4 linked regions of the Callithrix jacchus genome follow. The protein of the gene in region 3 interacts with the protein of the main gene of each other region in a pairwise test. Links are inferred from orthologs where the notes say so. Each region holds a gene or a part of one and is shown on either strand. Other genes may lie near its edges.

Region 1 (3,500 bases), on a different chromosome or scaffold from region 3:
CCAGCATCTGCAGCCATCAAAATGTTGTAGGCTTTAGTTGTCTGCCAGTGCCCAAGCTGAGCTGTCTCCTTCATGGTTAGGATTTATTGTTTAGAAAAAACAGCAACATTCTGTTTATAACTCAGAGCATTTGTGTTTTCTGCTGAAGCTAAAATACTCATTTATTCTTTCCTAGAGGAGAAAAGAAAAAGAGAACAATTAAAAACAAGAAAAGCAAAATTAGATATTCTAAATTTCTTAAGCATTTTTCACAAAGAGACTAGGCAATTTTTTTCCTTAAAGAAAATCACCTTTTTTTTTTTTTTTTTTTTGAGACACCAGGATCCCTGTCACCCTGGCTGGAATGCAGTGATGTGATCACAGCTCACTGCAGCCTCACCCGCCCAGGCTAAATAAAGCCATCCTCCCACCTCAGCCTTCTAAGTAGCAGCTGGGAACATAGGTGCATACCACCATGCCTGGCTAGTTTTTTATTTTTTTTGTAGGCGGGGGGGGGGCGGTCTCACCATGTTGCTCAGGCTGGTCTTGAACTCTTGAACTCCTGGGCTCAAGCAGTCCTCTTGCTTCAGCCCCCTAAAATGGTGAAGTCCTGAGACACCATGCCTGGCCAAAAATCATTATTAATTAAAAATGCCAGAGAAGCCTTTTATCTAGACTTTGATGTTTTCTACACTGCAACTATCTCTTGGGAAATGGGAAAAGGGAGAGGGAGGACCTTTGTTATTGTCTCTCTGGTGATATAATTGGGAAACTAAGGCTGGGCATGGTAAAGACCCAGTCTTTACAAATAAAAACAAATTGGAAAACCGAATTGCCAAGTGATTCTGTGGCTTGGTAGAAGGCTGCAGGTGAGACTGCTGCGTTCCTCCTGACTTGTAACGTTGTGTCCTTTTCACTAGACAGCCTCTGGAGAGCCTATGTTGCTACTTGTCATGTTTCTTAGGATCAGCTGTCAAGGACAGATGTAGTTGCTGATCAGCCTGGCTTCTGTATTAAGTAGTCGGTAATTTTGTAGCTATTGATGAGAGTTCTGAGGCACTTAGTTTTTTTGCCCTGACCTGGTGGTTCAAAGGTGTGGGGGCGGGTACCAGGGAGGAGGGGCTGTGTGAAAGTCAGAGCTGCTCTTTTCCCTGGTTTTATCCAGTCTGAGTCTCCCAAGGAGATATTTGGGAGGAGGAGGCGAGTGTGGCTGGATCTAAATATATCTCTTCCCAGCCATTTTGAAAACTGTTTTACCAACTTGTGCTTTTTCCGAAACAGTTTTTTCTCTTTGTTACCAAATTATGCAGGTAGAGGTAGACATTTCTGGGCAGCCTCGCCTAATGGTGTTAGTGGGGGCGGTGTCATCACTTATCTTTCTTTCTTTCAGACCGGAACATGAACATTTTGCAGTACTGCCCCTCTTCTGACATCTGGACCCTCTTTGAAACTTGTGACGTCCACATTCGCAAGCAGCAGATGGTGTCTGTGGAGGAGACCATCTATATCGTGGGGGGGTGTCTCCACGAGCTGGGGCCCAACCGCAGGAGCAGCCAGAGTGAGGACATGCTCACCGTGCAGTCCTACAACACCGTCACCCGGCAGTGGCTCTACCTCAAGGAGAACACGTCCAAATCGGGTCTTAACTTGACTTGTGCACTCCATAACGATGGCATCTACATCATGAGCAGAGACGTCACCCTGTCGACCAGCTTGGAACACCGAGTGTTCCTCAAGTACAACATCTTTTCAGATAGTTGGGAAGCATTTCGGCGTTTTCCAGCTTTTGGACATAACTTGCTGGTGTCTTCTCTTTATCTGCCCAATAAAGCAGAAACATGACTGAATTGAATTCGTAGATGAAAGAAACTGGTTCAAGATTTTTTTTAAAAACGTAGTGTCCCATTGCAAGGGAGACTGATTCCTAAAGGGTAAAGAAGGGTTAAAATAGGTCACATATATACAGTAGCAGCTGTAAATAAGCTTACTTGAACTAATTACTTGAAAACTTGTGGAAAAAAGAGACCAACTTTGTTATTTTTAAAATTATTGATTTTTAAATTATGGGAGCAAATCTATCTCCAGACATGATACTCTTGGGCCAATGACGGATCATCAAAATATAGATTCATTGTGACTGCATGGTAAAGGGCCAAAGTCAATAATTGGAACAAATGGTAAAGATGATTTTTAAAATCTGTTGTATTTAGGTCCCTTTACATATCATTAGCACCTTATGTGAGAGATTTTCTTTTTCTTGCCAGTATACTTGACAAGCATTCGTATTAACATATTCATTCCCTCTTCTCCGTCAAGCATACCCACACATACATCTAGTATGTTTAAAATAGGGTTCTGTGTTCAGATATTTTGTTTGCACTCTACTTCTTAGGAAACTTACAATGATGGAGCCCTACAATGAATCCTTGCTAGTGTTCAGTCCTCCTCAAAACTTGCATAAAAACATTCTCAGCCATTTTTCCAGCCTTCTTTGCAGGTACAAATGCTGGATTAATAGATTGATACAACCTCTTATTTTATTTATGTGGCAGATTACATATTTATGTGGCCACATAGGTTGCATTGCTAGGTGTTCTGTATTTTAAAGAGGATATATTATTTAGAAAAATGAATATATGAATATTTTAAAAAATTGAGTCTTAAATTTAAATGGGAAGGGAAGAAAACACCAAATAAGACATAAATTTGCCTTTGAGAGTTACTTTTATTGAATGTATTTGACTTAGTTCTTATTTCAAGACTTAAAAAAAGTTTACCATATTTAAGTCAGGCAACTAATTTAATCTTAGCTTTGTAATTAATGTTTTGCTTTTGTGGACTAAGGTAAGGACAGCATTTAAACATAGGTGCTGGAGTAAGGAAGAAGCCCTTACAGAAGTGGAATGGCTTCTGGTAGTATTTTTGAAGTTAGGTAAAGTGCTTTACTTGCCTTGGTTGTGAATTGAAATAGAATGCAGCTCAAGCAGTTGTTTTCACTGAGGGAGTTAACAATAAAAGTTTCTGCCAATCAGATCAGCATTCTTCAAAAATATATATACTCATACTTACAGAACTTTTATTTTGAGTGAAAAACGCTCTAAAATTATCTGATATTTTGTAATCCAATCAGTTCAACTGTGAGCTGGATTCCATCATTCTGCAATAACAGCAGGCAGAACCATTTCAGTTAGTGTGTGCCTCACTTTAAGAAAATCCTGTTGGGGGAAAATCACTGTCAGCAAATTCATGCATTCCGCAAACACTTATTGAGTGCCTGCAATATGCCGTCCACTATGCAGATGTAGGACGGGGCTAATTACTTAGAGTTTTTCAGTTTATTCTAGGAGTCACTACAGGGTTTCTTTACAACCATGGCCTCTAGTATACTTAAAATAAGGGTCCACTTATAAAAAGCCTCTTTGCACAACTTTTTGGGAATACTTCTATTAAGTTAAATGAGGTAAGCCATTATTTTGGACATAGAAACAGATCTTTGTATCTTGTCACCAAATAATCTTATC
Region 2 (3,313 bases), on a different chromosome or scaffold from region 3:
TCCTTTCTCTTTTGTTCGTGTGTGTGCCATCACACTTAAAGCACTTACTGTGCAGGAGGCAGTGCTCAGGCTCACCACAGCCCTGGGAAGGGGGTACCATCATAACCCGCCCAGTCTTACGAATGGACTCCAGCCCCTTTACCAGATCTCCAGAGTCAGCCCTTAGTTCACAAGTGAGAACTTAACTTTCTCTTTCACATGAAGACTCAGAATGCAATCAACAAACCCTGCAGGCCCAACGTGCGGAGTAATGGCAGAGTGGAGTAGTATGCTCTCCCAGCCATCCCCTCCCCCATCCCCTAGGTCCCCCACCCTGTGGAGTGGTACATTTCCAGAGACTGAGCCCAGCTCTCAGGCTCTCCGTAGGTCCCTGTTGAATGTATAGGTCCCATTGGAAGCATCCTCTGGACTCCCTCCTACCCTGCTAGCTCAGTGAAGCACCCTAGGTACCCAGGAGTTGATGGAATTAATTCACTCCCAGCTCTTAAATTTCATCCAGCACTGGGATTTAACAGCCAGCCCTGGCCTTAGGGCATATCGGACTGGGTGTGAAGGGATAGGAGAATTGCATATTTTTTAAAAAGACTGTTCAGTATTATAGAATAGTGTGTAGCACATAGTAGGAGCTCAATAATTTAAAAAAAATTTTATAGACAGGGTCTTTCTTTGTTGCCCAGGCTGGTCTCAAACTCCTGGCTTCAATCAATTCTCCTGCCTCACTCGGCCTCCCAGAGTGATGGGATTACAGGCATGAGCCACCACACCTGGCCTCCATAGGTTTCTGTTTAAAGAGTAACTATTATTACTTTTTGTTTGGAAAATGCTGTGTCCCCAAAAAAAGACAAAACAACCTGATTGGTGTTTTTGGAACTGTAGGCTTTTGGTTGGAGCAGAGATTGTGATGAGGCACGAGTAAGGGGCAGGCTCCTCTGAGGCCTTTTTATTTTTAAGAATACTTATTTCTTCTCTAAGGGCTTATTGAGGACTGAGTTCCCAACACAGCCTTAGCCAGGCAGTTGGTGTGTCATGGGCACTGGTTTCTGTAGCCTCTTGGGTGGTAGAAAGGGGCCCAGGCCCTGGGCTGGGCTTAAATGGACTCAGGGAAGCCCCTGCCCTTATGGGATTCGGCCTCATTGGAGAACAGACAAGGAGATTTGGGATTTCGGCACAGGAGGTGGGGTGGTGAGCAAAGCAGGATGCTGGCCGGGCCCGGGGGTGGCCTAACCACCTTGCAGTGGGGGTGGGGAGGCCTAGTAAGGCTGACTCTAGCTTTGGCCCCCAACAAAATAAATCAAGGAGTGACTCCAGGACCACAAGGCACACCAGCCACATCGTCCGTTGACTGAAGGCAGTAAGGACAGTGGGTGAAATCAGAGGCTTTGGGGTCCTGCCAGGGGACCCTGAACATGCTACTTCTGGGCCTCGGTTTCACCCTCTCTGAAATGAGGACCACTGTAGGATTGAGTGACAGTAGGACCAATCAGTAAAAGTGTGCAGTCATCATTGCACCCCTTCCCACGTTCCTGCAGGATGATGAGTGCTGTACCCCATCTCCTGCCACTTACCGACCCCTATGAGTGGGGAGCGAATAGCCCCATTTTACAGGTGGAAGATGCAGGCTCAGAGAAGCCAGACAGCTTGCCTGGGGTTGTACCGTGGGAAGCAGCAGAGCTCTGTCAGGTCCTGGCCTTTGGAGCCTGGATGCTCGTTTCACTGTGGCCTGGCTTTCCTGGGATCATGGGATTCTTTCAGGTTTTGGGGCACGTGGGGAGGGATTCCCATCGCTGCCAGCTGTTGTCCCACGGCTCACTCAGCCTTTCTGGCCATTCTCTCCCCAGGCGAGAAGCCCTTCTCCTGTCCCCACTGCAGCCGTGCCTTTGCCGACCGCTCCAACCTGCGGGCCCACCTCCAGACCCACTCGGACGTCAAGAAGTACCAGTGCCAGGCATGCGCTCGGACCTTCTCCCGAATGTCCCTGCTCCACAAGCACCAAGAGTCCGGCTGCTCAGGATGCCCTCGCTGACCCTCTAGGCTCCCTCTTCCTCTCCTTACCAGCCCCTCCCTGACAGCCTCCCCGCAGTTCCAGCGGGAAGGGCCCAGGTCCTTCTCACTGAATTCCCTCCTGAGCACCCCACTTCTGGCTGCCTCAGCCCCACAGGACTTTGATGAAGGCCATTTTCTGGTTCTGTTTCCTCTGCCTGGGTCCCTCAGTGGGCTCTGGAAGAGGCCTGCCCGTGGCAACTTCTGTGGAGGGAGGGCAGCTGGCAGCCCCAGGCCGGGGGCTGTCCTGAGCTGGCCTTTCTGCGTGGGTTTTTGTATCCAGAGCTGTTTGGATACAGCTGCTTTGAGCTACGGGATGAAAGCGGACTCCTACCCCACTCAGGGGACCCTACTCCCCTCACCCCCACCCCACAAGGAACCCTCAGACCACCCTCCATGAGGTGTGACTGACTATGCAATAATCCACCCCCAGGTGCAGCCCCGGGGCCTGCGGAGGTGGTGGCAGACTGCTATTTCAACCTCCTGTTTGGCGGGGTGGCACCTGTTCCCGGGCAATTTAACAATGTCTCAAAAGGGACTGTGAGTAATGGCTGTCACTTGTCGGGGGCCTGAGTGGGGTGCTCTGGTCTGACCCATGTGTCTCCCAGAACTATTTTGGGTGCCTGACAGGTGGGCCTGGGAGGAAGATGTTTACATTTTTAAAGGTACACTGGTATTTATATTTCAAGCATTTTGTATCAAGGAAACGTTTTGTATAGTTATATATGCAGTTTATTGATATTCAATAAAGCAGTTAATTTATATATTAAAAAGTTTCTTTGTAATAGAGGGGTGGGTGTTTTGAAAGGTCTTTGGTAAGGGAGAAGGGGACAGGAATTCCTGAAGCTTAGATATTCTGACACAGCCTTAAAACTTGTCCTTGGGAAACTCACAGGGCTTTGGAGTCCTGGGTGACACTGTCAGGGACCTTATGAGATGGGTTTTCCCCTTGGCCCGGGTGTCTTGCCTGCTGGCATGTGGGTGAGCCGCCAGCGTCCACATGAGCTCTTCACTATACACTGTGGCTCTTGTTTCCTTTCTTGAATTTTGAAGCTGATCTGACCCTCGGGGTGCAAAGCTGGCTTCCTGGGTCTTACCAGCTAGGCAGGCTGCAAAGCTCTGTCCCAGCACTGCAGGTCTTTTGGGGTGGGATTGCCCGTTTCCCCTAGATGTGAGTAGAATTTGACCAAGGAAACAGAGGATGTCCTTCCTGTTTCCAAGGGCTCCGGGCCCCTCGGGCCTCCGTGTCAGCCCCACACCTCTGTCTTGTTGC
Region 3 (3,500 bases):
TTGTTTTCTTAATTTCCTTTTTGGATTTTTAAGTATACAGAAATGCAACTGATTTTTGTTTTGATCTTATATCCTGAAATTTTGTTGACTGTATTCTTTTTTTTTCTTGATAGTTTCCTTTATTTTTCACTTTCAGAAACTGCCACCTTCACAACCACTACAACAACAAAAATTTATATTTGCCACAGCGAGAGCATAACTGATCACAGTTTCCCTGAATTCAAGTCACTTGAAGTCAGCTACTCAGTTTGGCTGACATTCTTTTGATGTTCAATATTGGTAATCTGAACATTATGTTAATCCTTCCTGATTTCTTCAATGAAATAGTTATCTCGCTGCAAACTACAATCAAATTAATATAGTTTGAAGTGTCAAAATATTTATTTCCATGACTGTATTCTTTCTAATAGGTGTTTTTGTGTGGATTTTTCAGGATTTTCTACATACGAGATCATGTCATCTGTGAAGAGATATACTTTTACATTTTCCTTTACAATTTAGATGTCTTTTATTATTTTCTTGCCTAATCGCTCTGTGGGCATCTTCTTGTTCTTTATCTTACAGAAAAAGCTTTCAGTTTTTTGAGTAACATGTTAGCTGTGGGCATTTTATATCTTGTGTATGTCACACTGAGGCAGTTTCCTTCTATTCCTAGTTTGTTGAATGTTTTTATTATGAAAGGGTATTGAATTTTGTCAAATGCTTTTTCTGCAACTATTGAGATGATTATGTGTTTTTTTAATCTCATTCTATGTATTACACTGATTGATGGTGAATAATTCTTGCCTTCCAGGTATAAAGCCCATTTGATCATGGTGTACCAAATGGTTTTTTGGTTGAGTTTACTAGCAAACTGAATTCAATGTGTTGTTGAATTCAGTTTGCTAGTATTTTGTAGTTTCCTCCTGGTTGCACCTCAGCCTCAACTATGTGGGGTATGGGGAAGGGCAGGGATGAGTGCACAGAATACCCTGAATTTTCTTACCCCTTTCACTGGAATGCCTTTTTGGTTTTATGGCCTGGTGCTGTAGCTTCTTAACTGTTCTCTAGAGTTCTCATAGAAGTAATTCTCTTCCATATATTGTTTCTGAGGTGTATAACTGGATTTAAGTATAGCTTTGGAGCTGTTGCGTAGATGGTAATTAAAGCTTGTGAAGAGAATGAAAATATGTAGAATGAGAAGGGGGCCTTATACAGACCCTCAAGAATACCAACATTTAAAAGGCAGATAAAGGAAAAATTAGGAGCATCCAAAAATGGGGTAAAACCAAACCTGGGAAATTTTGTATCATAAAAGCCAAGCAAAGAGTGCTCAAAGGAATAAGCAGAAATAACACATATATGTTGGCAACTGTTGTAAGGACTTTTCATTAAAAATTAATCCTTTCAAGAATCCTATGTAAATTTTGTATTATTTTAGTCCTCCTTTTATGAAAGAAGGGAAGCAGAGAAATCATGCAGCTAGTAATAAATAAAAATGTTCATTATAGTATTGTTTGTAATATCATAAAATCAGAAATTACATAAAATCTACCAGTTGGGGGTTTGATTAAATTGTGGTTTATGGAATGTAAAGAAGCCATTAAAAGAAAAAGGTTGGTCCATATGTATTGCAAGGATTATGTAATATACTGTTGAGTGAAACACATTAGTTGTAGAGTGTGGCTGATACTTTTTAAAGAAAGTTTCTTGTGTTTCTGTATGTTGGCCAGTATGTGCATGGGAAAGTATCTGGAGGGATATACATCAGATTCATAGTGAAAATTTTTGGGAATTGAGCGGCAATTTTCATTTTAATTAATTTAGCCCTATTGTAAGGTGTTTCAGTATAGCATAAAAACATGCTTAAATAAGATTTAAAGAGGTTTCATTTGAGTTAGAAAATCTGAGAAAATTAATTGTGTATATTCTGTTATACAAAGACAAACTGGTCAGTTTTACTGAGGAAAGATTTAGCCATGGGGAAGGAATTCATCTTAAGATAAAACTCAAGATTTTGAGGAATACAACTCAGATTGCAATGATTGAGGAATGAACAGGAAATGTAGAAATAATAAAGGTGCTAAATGCTATTACTTTATAACTGTATGTCAAATTAAAAATATTTTAAAATATTTAAATTATAGGATAATCGAGTTCACATTGGACCAAAAATGGAAATTCGGGTGGTTACATTAGGATTGGATGGTGCTGGAAAAACTACTATCTTGTTTAAGTTAAAACAGGATGAATTCATGCAGCCCATTCCAACAATTGGTAAGTATTAATACTGGTTTTTACCTTAAAGGGCATTTAATAGACAAACCCTAGCTTACAGCCGAGTTCTTGTGGTCTTATTTGTTACTAATCTGTCATGGTGCTGGGCTCTTTTCTGGCTCTAAGACATCAGCATCTGAGAGAAAAAATGCAAGATTGTGTGGCTATGGGAATGAAATGTGGTTGGGGATAAAAAGAAGAAACAGTATTGGTGGGACAGTTTGAAGGAATAGAAGATTGGTGATCCTGGCTGAGGGTGTGGGGATGGGGGCAGTAGTGCAACAGAGCTGGAAGATACATGGATCCCAAGGTCCTAAGGACCTTGGTGGAGGTTTAGAGGGCTAGCAGCTGTTACAGGTATTCACTCTCCATGTAGAAGTAGGAATGGGGTTGATTAGGCTTCAGTAGATATTGCTGCATATAGATAATTGATAAATCACAATTATACACTGGGGGATTGTCTGTGTTTGATGTGTCATTCATTGTAAATGTAAATATAGTATAAAAGTTAACTTTTTTTTTAAAACAGGTTTTAATGTGGAAACTGTAGAATATAAAAATCTAAAATTCACTATTTGGGATGTAGGTGGAAAACATAAATTAAGACCATTGTGGAAACATTATTACCTCAATACTCAAGGTGAGAGTTTAAAATGACATTTAATTTTTCACATTTTTAGGATGACAGTTTTCAGTGTACTGATTTGACTAGCAAAGCTGATATTTATGATTAAATCCTTGACTATACACTTAAGTGTTAGTGGCTAGTTCCTTATCTTGTAAAAAACAAAAGTAGAAAAATTAGCATATGTACTTTTAGTTTATTCCTGATAAACCATTATTACAGAAATAAACCAGATGTAGCTTAGAAACATAGGCAGTTAAGAGTATTCTCGCTTCTCTTAACAGAGAATGTATATTATCAGTATTATATGGGTGTGATTGCTGGCAATGTAGTGGTATAGAGTTGAGTTTATGGTGTATGATTCTGCTGTTCAATTCAGTTAAACTCAGCATTTATCCCATTATAATCTCACAATAGCCCCACTCCCACATTTCTCTCATAAATAGTTGTTACCTGCAAAAGAACTTACAGTGGCTTGCTTTTGACCAAATGGTATTATATCATATACTCTACATAGGTTTTAGTCACATTTGAGTTCTATTCTACACTTTTGCCTCAGAGACCCCAACCTAAAGCTTAGACTCATGCGTCCTATTCTGTATGTTATCCTGCTTTGTAC
Region 4 (3,500 bases), on a different chromosome or scaffold from region 3:
CCAGATAACTAAAACTTAATAGTATAAAACATGCAAAAACAATTTCAGAATATTTCCTAATCAAAAACCATCAGGGTCTGTTTAAAATGATTCCCATACAAAATGGGTATAAAAGTTACTTCAAATCATGTAATATTGTAATACTAAATATTATTCAATACTGTATAGTGAACAGTGCTGAAGAAGAGGTAAATTTCATAGATATGGGGTCTTACTTATGCTGTAAACTTCGGTCCTTCTTGTTCACTTGAAGCAGCATACAACATCCCAGAATTTCATTAAGTAAGAAACAGATGGCTGCTGCTCTGGCAAAAATAGGATGTGTAAGAGTCAAAGGCACACTATTCAGCTAGCCACAGTGATTAGCAAACACTTGCCCTTCCCACCCCACATGCTCTTCCCCATGTAAACAAAGATACATTAAAGAGAAAAGTAAAATGAACTAAACTTATCTACAAAAGCAAGGAATTGAGACATCAATGTTAAGTCCTTGCATCAAAAACACCAGCTACCATTATCTGGAAATTTCTGATTATATTTCAAAGATGTATTCAAATAAGATACACTTAAACCTTAGATACACTTATTTCTTGTCAAAGTTATTCGTTATCTAACACGTTTTACTTTAATTTCAAACATTTTATTCACTGGTATGACAAGAAAATTTTAGCTCCCAGAGGAATTAACCACTGGAAGGAAGGACAAGCAAACAAACAAAAGCGTATATTTAAGTTGCGGGCAGCCATTATGCCCCTTTCTGGCACAGTGGGATTTGACTGACAGCTCAAAGTCCAGAAATAATTCTACTGACACAGGGAAACTCGGTAAACTCATTGTTGCTTTTTTTTTTTTTTATGTTATCTTGACTTGTGACTTGGACCAGACTTCTTTTTCTTCTTCTTACTATGTTTCTTGTGCTGTTTCTTCTTCTTCTTCTTGACCTTTTCCTTTGCTTGTTCTCGCTCTTCACACCTTCTCTTCTTTTTGGCTTGCACATCCTCTTCATAATCTGATTCAGATGAGGACTCAGATGAGAAATCATCATCAGGATAACTTTTCTTTCTTTTTTTGCTGAGGCTTCTCACATCCTTTTCTTTCGCTGTTTCATCCTTTGACTTCTTTTTCTTTTTTACAGACTCCTTGCTCTCTGATTCTGATTCATATGTAGAGCTTTGTGATGATTTGTATGAACGGTTCTTCTTTTTCTTTCTCTTTTTTCCTTGTTTCTTTTCCTCATCCTCAGAATCTGAAGAACTGCTTGAAGAATCAGAGCTTGATGAAGGAGATGAAGACCGACAAGATTTCTTCTTTCTCTTTCTCTTTCTTTCTTTTTTTTTAGAGGAGCTCTCATTTCCACTTAATAATTTCTGTCTGCTTTTTTCAAGTTCTTTCTTCCAATTTTCATTCATTTTTTCTTCAAATTCAGCTAATGCTTTTGAGCCTCTTTTTTTATTTTCTAATTGTTTCTTTACTTCTTCCCAGGTGGGCCTTGGTCGATTCAGATAATCTTGGATTGTTGGGCCCACAGATTGAGTTGGGCCTCTCCATCTGGCCATTGCTATAGGATTCATATAAGCTACCCGATTATCCCGCTTCCCCATGGTGCCTGATGTTTCCCAGGGCAGACTCTCAGTTGCCAAGGAGAACAAAGATACTCTCCTTAAATTCTTTATCTACTGAAATACCAAGCAAGGTCCATTCTGTAAGAGAAGCAGATGGAATGATTACAAATCACCGTTAATATAAAGACAAAATAAACATATAAGCTTAATTATTCACTGCCTATCACATAGTAGAGTAGAAATTTCCAAAATCTTATATCATGGGTACAAACAATATGCACATTTAAAAATTTTACATATTAAAGACACTGTGGTATAAACCTAATATAAACATTACTAAATCCTGATATTTAAACCTCCCCAATAGGAATCATATCCATTCATTTGTCTCCAAATAGACTGTCATCAATGTAGTTCAGGCCACTATCATCTCTTACTTGGATTATTAATCTCTACTCCCTATTAAGTGTTTATTCTCTGTCAAGGACTGCTTAGTGTTTGCAATGCATTATCTCATTCAATCTGAAGGCCAAACCAATGAAGCTGATCCTGTCATTATCCCTATTTCACAGATGGATAAACTGAGGCTTAGATAATTCGAGTAAAACTCAAAATTTGAACATGAAGTAAGAGGGCTAATAAATGGCATAACCAGGATTTAAACAAAGGGAGCCTGATTCCAAACTCTGAAAATATAAGGCAATACCAAATTGTCTCCTTACATCAACCTCTTAATAGGTAGCCTTTTCCCACCCTTATTCCCTTTTATTGTAGTCCTCACTGTAAACAGAGGGATCTTAATGAACTCCAGTGGCTTTAGGTTTTAATGAAAATCAAATCCAATCTCCTATAAGGTCCGATATGATCTGCACTACTTACTTCTCTCTCTTATTTTGTCTTGTTTCACTCACTCCTTTTCTCAAGTTTTTTCCATTTGGTTACTGGAACATGGTGAATTATAGGCTTAGCCAGTATGGCCAATTCCATCTCATCCTTCAGGTTTCAGTTTAAATGTCAATTCCTCAGAAAGTAAACTATTAGGTTAAACTATGTAAAACTATTTTGTGGGACACAAACAGTTTAAATATCAACAACTTTGTATGGTTCGAACTTATATTAAAGTAGTTTGCCTCTCTGTCTACCCTTCAACCTGATTTTTCTGTATGATAGTTCACTGTTTCTTTTATTCACAGAATTTATGAAATTGGTAATTATTTCATTTGTCAATATTTCATCATACATGTGTATCCACTGCTAAATGTAAGACCACGAAGAGTAAAGGTCATGTGTGGCCTATCTCATTCACCATGGTGTTCCCATTACATGATGCAGAATCTGACCCATATCAATCACTCAGTAAATATTTTCTCAATAATAAACAAACAAATAAATGCATGGATGGATAGACGGGTAACTCTGGGAGAGAAGGGGATTCAGAGGGAGCATCCTGGAGGTGGTGATGTCTATAGGATTTTAAGTAATGAACATGCATTTACCCAGAATATGAGGATATTAAGGACAATTTTGGTAGAGGAAACATGAGAAAAGAGCACCAGGTATTTATTGTTGATGAAACCTAAAGATCAGGAGGGCAGGGGGAAGGAGGTAAGCTTGCAGAGATAAAAAGAAGTCTAAATATGGAAACCCTCTTTGGTCATTTGAAAATCTTGGATTTTTGTCCTATAGTTGATAGGGAGTGAATAAAGACTTTTATATAGAAGAGAAAAACAATCAGACATATAGATTTTTCTGTCGTCTCCATCTTAACCCTGATCCTTTAAGTCAACCTGTCATACCTACCCATCATAAGCTCAATGCTATAGACATTTCAGTGACTCTTGGTAACAGTTTCCAACATCTTATTTCCTGTGTTCTCAATCTTACTCTCCTTCCTCTTTAGTTATGTGTAAATCCTTGGTGTTTCTGTAATTTTCATTC

Evidence for each region.
Region 1: the proteins of TRIM23 (region 3) and KLHL42 interact in binary tests that used the Homo sapiens proteins (3 or more experiments, as listed by UniProt). The two-hybrid records come from large-scale screens. The link is inferred for Callithrix jacchus from reciprocal best matches to the Homo sapiens genes TRIM23 and KLHL42.
Region 2: the proteins of TRIM23 (region 3) and SNAI1 interact in binary tests that used the Homo sapiens proteins (3 or more experiments, as listed by UniProt). The two-hybrid records come from large-scale screens. The link is inferred for Callithrix jacchus from reciprocal best matches to the Homo sapiens genes TRIM23 and SNAI1.
Region 4: the proteins of TRIM23 (region 3) and FAM133A interact in binary tests that used the Homo sapiens proteins (3 or more experiments, as listed by UniProt). The two-hybrid records come from large-scale screens. The link is inferred for Callithrix jacchus from reciprocal best matches to the Homo sapiens genes TRIM23 and FAM133A.

The regions. Positions count from the first base shown.
Region 1 is NC_133510.1:43,423,104-43,426,603, reverse strand, and holds part of KLHL42 (kelch-like protein 42), read left to right. Parts: intron 1-1,369; coding exon 1,370-1,821; 3' UTR 1,822-3,500. UniProt on the Homo sapiens protein: Substrate-specific adapter of a BCR (BTB-CUL3-RBX1) E3 ubiquitin-protein ligase complex required for mitotic progression and cytokinesis. The BCR(KLHL42) E3 ubiquitin ligase complex mediates the ubiquitination and subsequent degradation of KATNA1.
Region 2 is NC_133506.1:45,529,566-45,532,878, forward strand, and holds the end of SNAI1 (zinc finger protein SNAI1), read left to right. Parts: intron 1-1,838; coding exon 1,839-2,023; 3' UTR 2,024-2,813; downstream 2,814-3,313. UniProt on the Homo sapiens protein: Involved in induction of the epithelial to mesenchymal transition (EMT), formation and maintenance of embryonic mesoderm, growth arrest, survival and cell migration.
Region 3 is NC_133503.1:143,899,839-143,903,338, forward strand, and holds part of TRIM23 (E3 ubiquitin-protein ligase TRIM23), read left to right. Parts: intron 1-2,126; coding exon 2,127-2,256; intron 2,257-2,785; coding exon 2,786-2,896; intron 2,897-3,500.
Region 4 is NC_133524.1:90,195,753-90,199,252, reverse strand, and holds part of FAM133A (protein FAM133A), read right to left. Parts: intron 1,701-3,500; 5' UTR 1,602-1,700; coding exon 858-1,601; 3' UTR 1-857.